2 linked regions of the Drosophila melanogaster genome follow. The protein of the gene in region 1 interacts with the protein of each later gene in a pairwise test. Each region holds a gene or a part of one and is shown on either strand. Other genes may lie near its edges. The genes, in order: MFS18 and CG42597.

Region 1 (3,931 bases):
AATCCCTGCCAGCTCCTGCTCCGGAATATATAGAAGATCTGACTAAGTCGCCGAAACGGCCTAAACTCCAATCCCCATGTAAAACACCAATTAATGGTGAGTTCGTTGTTGAGAATTCGATTTGGCACAATACCTGTTTAGATTATTATTGCTGATTTGGAGTTTTTGGTTTATTTTTTTTTAAATGCAAATGTGTAAATATGTATGCGTGAATTAACGGAATTTTTCGCTTGATGGTTAGAGAAATTTATGATTTATGAAGAAATTGGTTTTCTGTTTAATCCTGATTATCACTACACTTGTTTTTTTTTTGGCCTGTACAAAGAAAGTCAAAACTATCTCAAACATTGATCTTTGTTTACGTTTATTGAATTATACCCAATTGGTATTTAATACAAGAAATTATTTTTTTGTTAACAAATAATAAAGAAAAAATTTTTTGCGCAAATTCAAGTATGTTTAATAATAAATAATAAAACTAATGTCACGGATCTTCTTCCGCCAGTTCCTGCCGAAAATGTCACTCCCACAACTGATGCTGCTCCTGTTGCCGCTTCGGCGGCTACTCCTGCGGCAGCTCCAACACTGCCCACGCCCAATACTATCGTGATTAACCTATCTGGCTGTGAGGACTCGATTGACGACTCCAGTGGAAAATTATCGCGCAAGGGTAAGCGCAAGGACAAGCACAAAAACAAACACAACCTGTCGTCGGATACAGAGAAATCGATCGGCAAGGAGCATAAACGGAAGCGAAAAAAGCGCGCCCACCTTGACGAGTCTTCCACCCATTTGGATAACGCGGGCAACACCTCGGGCAGCACCATTAAGATTATATTCAAGGCATTGCGTTTACCCGGCGAGGATGCGCCGGAGTCTCAATACTTCTACGTGCCGGCCAATGCGGTGCGCTCCGTGGACGAAGCCTCGCGCCCCACCTCAGTTGAAACAGTCGAGGACAGTGTCCAGGGAGCGGAGCAAGCCTTGGCACCCATCGTGCTGCCGGCAGCGTCACCGCAAAAGGTTCGGGAGCCCAAGGAGACTGCGGCCAGCGCTTCCGTCAACCCCACACCATCACCTAAAAGAAAGGTCAGTCCACGAAAGGCAAGTCCCCGAAAGCCGCGTGTGGGTCGACCACGGGTGTCCAACGCCAAGCCTAATGTGGAAATCAGCTGCTGCGTGTGCAGCCAGACGGGCAAGTCCAACCAGGTGGTGACCTGCGACGAGTGCCACCGGCACTATCACTTCGCCTGCCTCGATCCGCCGCTCAAGAAGTCGCCCAAGATTCGCGGCTACTCCTGGCACTGTGCCGACTGTGATCCCACGGACGAGGATGCACTGCCCAAGAAATAGAAGCAAACATGATTTTTACGTAGATTTTGTACCATTAATATCATTAGGTCCGTGCGATATTTACAAAACTAAAATTGAATACACAAAATAAAATAAGTAAGACACATTCATATTAAAAATAAAATATTGACCAAATTGTAATTTGTCACTCGCTGAATTGTTCGGCTCAGTTATTTAACATATTTATAAATACATTTATTAATAAAAACCATATAAATATTACCGAATTGGATTTCATTAAAGACGGAACCCGAAAAGGACTCATGAGACGTTCAACCGACATGATACGAAAACGGAAATTAATTTAACATTGTTGTTTATTATTTAGCATGACCAGCATTCCATCTCATTTTTGATTCTTAAATACACATATAAAATTATACAATTTTCAAATTATTAACGATCTGACCACGAATGTTGACCATGTTTTGGTGTTTTAGCAAGGAAACTCTGCATTTTTCCATCATATTCCTGAAAACAATCAGAGTTATGGACAAGTACCAAATACCAATTCCAATACAATTGATTTGTATTTTATCGGCATTCCACTGGCATTTCCGTTAAATGTGCTGTTAGGAGCCCAACCACATGTTGTGCTATCGAATGATAATCGATTCACGGCATTCGATATCATATAAACAACGAAATCGATGTACTTTTCGGTATGCCCTACACCGGGCTTAGAAGAGAACATTAATTTAGTACTTAGGTTAATTTATATCTATATATTTGCAACCTATAGTCAGTTTAAAGGAAATATATTCTTTATGTTTTGATTTTTTAGCTCGAACTACAAATGATATATGTTTATGCTTAAATACAATATTGTTGAAAAGATATTATGCTATAAAGTGAAGTCTATAGCCAAGTCGACCAAGCCGCACTATGCTCTAGTCCAGCGGCTGTTGGAAAAACGGCCACGTAAAAACATAATTTTAACAGGCGCAAATACTTGGCGTGTCTAGTCGCCAACGTGAATGAAAGTAAACAAAGGGCAGTAAAATATGCCACAGCGGCAAGCAACGAAGCAGTTGGAGTTGATATGTGACGTGAAGGAAAGGCAATAGTTCCGGACCCAGTTTGTGACCATGGACGAGAAGCTAAAATATTCTCTGCTGCGCGGGGAACTGGTGGACACGCAGAGCATTTGGACCAGGTGGGTCTCACAGCATACAGCTCACTAAACCTCCCCAAGTACAACTCCTTTGTCGGATCATTGCAGGCATGAGAAGCGTGTCTGGTTCATCACCCTTATTACGGGCACCTGTATGCTGTACTCCACCCGCACCACTATGCCACTTCTTGTGCCGGCCGTGGCATCCGCCCAAAAGTGGAGCAAAACCGACTCGGGCACTGTGCTCAGCTCCTTCTTCTGGGGCTACACACTCACGCAGGTTGTGGGCGGCTACTTCAGCGACCGCTTTGGAGGCCAGCGAGTCATTCTGTTTGCCGCAATCGGCTGGTCGCTTATCACATTCCTAATGCCCACTATCATCTGGACGGCGGGCTCCATCAAGAGTTACGCTATTCCCTTCATTGTTGCCATTCGAATCCTGAACGGCGCTCTTCAGGGCGTGCACTTTCCTAGCATGATTAGTCTAACCAGTCAGGTGCTTAGCTAATTTTATAAATTTACACATAAACTATAACTTAATCGTTTGCAGAATTTGTGCCCCAATGAGAGAAGCAGCTTCTTTGGGCTGCTCACAGCGGGATCGGCTCTAGGTACTCTTCTGACTGGGATTATGGGATCTTTTCTGCTGGACTACTTCGGCTGGTCGTATGTATTCCGGGTGATAGGACTGATGGGCATCGCATGGGCGCTGGTGCTGCGCTACTATGCAATGGCCGGCGAGCGAAACCGAATCATTAATATTGCCACGCCATCCCGACTGTGCGCGAACAAGAGTCCGGCAGAGACGTCAGCCGTGCCTTGGTTGCGATACTTTCGTAGGCTGTCCTTCTGGGCCTGTGTGCTGACTCACGCCTGCGAGATGAACTGCTTCTTCGTGCTACTCTCCTGGCTGCCTACATACTTCCACGACGGCTTTCCACACGCCAAGGGTTGGGTAGTGAACATGATCCCGTGGCTTGCCCTGCCACCGTGCACGCTATTCGCCAAGTACTTGACCACCAGATTACTCGCTCGCGAATGGCACACGACGACGGTGCGCAAGGTCATCCAAAGTTGCTGCTTTGCCGCTCAGAATCTGGCCCTGTTTGTGATGAGCCGCACCTCGGACTTCCATACGGCGCTCATCTGCATGACCATTATCATTGGCGGCACGGGCTTCCACAACAACGCGGTAACAGTGAATCCCCAAGACCTGGCACCTCTGCATTCGGGCAGCGTCTTTGGCCTGATGAACACAGTGGGCGCGATTCCTGGCTTTCTCGGAGTATACTTGGCCGGACACATTCTGGAGCTCACACAAAGCTGGCCGATGGTGTTCAGCGCCGCTGCTGGCATCAATTTGGTTGGCTGGATCATATTTATAGTCTTTGGTTCGGCGGAAGCCATCGTTTAACATTCTCTTGCACACTTTCCTCAGAAAAACTAACCTATTTATTTATGTGT
Region 2 (3,571 bases), about 18 Mb from region 1:
ATAATCTAACGCCCTAAAGCCGCCAAACCGGTCACGCCCACACTTTTGAACAATTTTTAATGTGTTCTCATTTTATTCCCCAATATCTATCAATATCCCAGAAAAATTATGAAATTTCGCGTTTGTATTCACACTAGCTGAGTAATGGGTATCTGATGGTCGGGGAAGTCGACTATAGCATTCTATCTTCTTTTTTGCATATTGTTCCAAAAAAGTATTAAAATATCTCGTTCATACTTTTAGCTGAGTACCGGGTATCGATATACCAAAAACATATTGGGCACACCCACTCTAACGTCACACCCACTCGGCGTCCACCATAACGCCTACAATCCACAGAAAAGCCGCAGCGGCCACAATTTTCGAAAATGTTATAAGTTTATTATTTTTTTATGTTTCTTGGTTAAAATTTGGAAGCGTTGTCATTAAGCGTTGGTGAAGTGCATCGATGGCGTAGATTGGTTCCCAACCACAACAAGAATTCCTTTTGTGTAATTGGCTGATTTGAAACCACGTCTATACGTGAATAACGCTTTTCGGAACCGCACCTCAAGACCAGGATCAGATTGGTACGCTTACCGTCTACCCGGTAGTCCTTACTGTCCTGATGCAGAGCAATAGTTTCGTAGATGGAGTAGACTTTTCCAACATTTAGCCGCACAAAGGATCCAATCACAGCCTCCGCGAAAATAGGTTTACCCAGTAAGTTCTTTATGTCGTTCCGTTTTAACACTGCTCGACTCAGCTGTTCCAGGTTGGATACGCGTTCATCGCTTTCAACGTTCGTTTGCGGATCGTTTTGGGCTGTATTCTCGCTCTCACTGTTAGGCGAGGAATCGCCGGAATAAGTCTCTTTGACCTCGATATTTACATCCTTACGCGTTTGTGCCTTGCAATCATCACTAGACTTCGTCTGCTCTGCACTGTCTTCGGAACATTTTCCCTTGCTCAATTTAATGGTGCGAATTGCCAATAATCGCTCAAAAGCATGTGCTGTTTTGCCACCAGACTCCAGTTTATTTGCGATCTTACGTCTTGTCCGTAAGCGCTCAACCATTTTTTTATACTTTTACTCTACGAATATCGGGTATAAAAAGTTTAATTGTAAATTCGATGAATTATTCAAAAATGCGAATCATAGGTAGGCCTCAGCAGGAATCATATTTATATGAACTTTTTTTTAATACTAAAACTACCGGATATTCAACTGGCAGTTTTTGTAATATTACAAATATGTTAAATTCTCGCAGCTGTTCAGTGTTCCTCATTCAATTTGCTTCGCTCGACATCGGCAAATATGAGTTTTGATATTGGAATTTTTGGTGGCGGCTGTTCAATAAGCACAAAAAACCGTAATAAGCTAGAATCCACGACAGGTGACTGAGTTAGCAGGAGAAAAAAAATATGCGCACACAAAAGCGAACCATTTTGTGTGGGTCTGGCGAGCAGTACGCGTATTCTTATTTGGCTAAATGACAAAACTTCATCAAAGTGAGCTTACGACTTCCTTGCTTTGATAAAAATTCCAATTTCTTTTTAGTGATGTTGGCTTTTGGCCGGACTTCCATTGGATATCTAATTGGAATTTAAAATGGCGGCACAATTAAATGGTACTGCTATATAAATAATTCTACAGCAATTGTTTGCAAGAAACACTAATTTAAGTAAAATGCAAATGATTTCCGGTATTAGGAGCACGGAGTGGAGCCAGAAGTGGTGCTCCGCATTCGAGGTGAGTGCGTTGGGGATGTATCTTCTGGATATTGCATGAGATTCGTATCCCCTCCACCTAAGTTTTCAATTGCGATTCAGTTTCGTTTCCATGTTGCAACTATAGCAACGACGACGACGTCATACGATTAACGTGAGCTGCATATTTTCGGCTAATTTTCTAATTAAAATGATATTTATGCATTTTTTAGCTGACAGAATTAAACATTCAGTGCCAAAGCCAATTTTTACAGGCAAAGTGAACAATGAAGCACGTACTAACCTCTCGCATAAAGATATTGACATTACATATTACAAAAGATAAGGGAGTAGGTATAATCCGTTTTAAAAGGTAGTGGTAAAGGTAAGGTAGACTTCATAAAAATCAATCAATTTTTTATCTGCTTTAGTCTTCCACGAGTTCAGCTGGTTTTCAACTTTGAAGTCCCTAAAGTTTTCATTTAACTTGCCAACGCAATACAGGAATTATTCTCCGACCCAGCAAGCATTTTAAATTGAAACAAACAAAACAATGTGTTTTGTTTTTTTTACCTTATTCATTCTAAATTTGTGTAACTTATACATATTTACAAGACCGCGCAGGCAAGTCACTTCTAACGTCTATATACAGGCAATACCCGATAGTTAACCAATATCCCTTTCTAAGGAAATGACCAGTCCCACGCCTGTTCTATTGGCCTTCGTTGTGCACATGGTGCTCCACACAACGCTCTTCATACATCTAGATCCGGGTATAATTGCAGACACCCCCGTCTTTGGTAGCCAGTTATTCTATTTATCAGTGATGGATCTGCTGTGCGACACAGAGGTAATACCCACGCACTGGAGTAACATTCCGCGGTGGGGAAAGTTTATCCTTGAGACCATTATCGCCATCCTTATTGGCGAAACTTTGATGGTGGGCGTATGGCTTTCCATGGAAACGCTTCTCGTCAACTTTATAAATGTTATAACCAATTGGTTGGGCCTGGGCAGCCGTACAAACACTAATTTCCAGGAGATCGGCACGATTTTATTGGGAGTTATCTTTTTAGTGATAGTGGGTGCCATTACAAATCGACCGGCCAAAGTTTGGAAAATGGCACAACAGTCTTGGAGAATCATCACACAACAAAGTCGTCCTTCGTCCAAACAGAAATCTTTTAAATAAGCAAAAGGACCCACATCGTTTTCGGTTCCTTCTATTAATTTGGGATACCATTTCTAGTTTATGTGCACTTTTTTATTAAAAGGGTGCTCAAAAAAAAAAAATTGGTTATCTCTAATTTCAAGTACCCATCTCTTTGTTCTTTTAACAGTGAAATAGTCAAATATAGTCTTTGATATCTATGCACCCCAATGCTTAATGAAGCTCGATATTCACAAAAGGATGCGATGCACCTTTGTAAATGTTAGCATACGACCTTTACTTAAGAAGAACAACAGGTTTTTCTAATGTCTCGATTCGAAGCCATAGGGCAATTAAATATGTCACGGGTGGGAGCGGAAACTTGTAAGACATTTAACTGTTTGGGCGCGCTTAAATGGAATCTGAGTGAAATAATTACCGTTGGAGAAAATGATTTCGAACAAATCATGTCTTACGGTTATTATACAAAAGGACATCCGTGATCCCTTAGGCAAGAAAATTCGAGAAACATAAGCTGCAGTTGCGCTAAAGGTGTGGGTGTAATTAGTAACATTTGTGCCACCAAACAATTAACATAGAAAGTGGCTCGAACTCTGTGAAGAACACATGTGCGATTGACTCTCTCTTGGGCCATTATGTAATAAAAAGCGCTACTTATGTTTACTTAATGTATTGTATATCCTACAACACGAAACTCAAAAAATTTGAGAT

What was found.
Region 2: the proteins of MFS18 (region 1) and CG42597 interact in a two-hybrid assay, tested with the Drosophila melanogaster proteins (one large-scale study listed by BioGRID).

What each region holds. Positions count from the first base shown.
Region 1 is NT_033779.5:4,446,938-4,450,868, reverse strand, and holds the start of MFS18 (major facilitator superfamily transporter 18), read left to right. Parts: upstream 1-2,233; 5' UTR 2,234-2,441; coding exon 2,442-2,509; intron 2,510-2,575; coding exon 2,576-2,963; intron 2,964-3,017; coding exon 3,018-3,881; 3' UTR 3,882-3,931. Other genes in the region: CG15439 (uncharacterized protein), read left to right, coding at 1-96, 506-1,353.
Region 2 is NT_033779.5:22,064,003-22,067,573, reverse strand, and holds CG42597 (uncharacterized protein), read left to right. Parts: upstream 1-2,230; 5' UTR 2,231-2,313; intron 2,314-2,377; 5' UTR 2,378-2,380; coding exon 2,381-2,881; 3' UTR 2,882-2,970; downstream 2,971-3,571.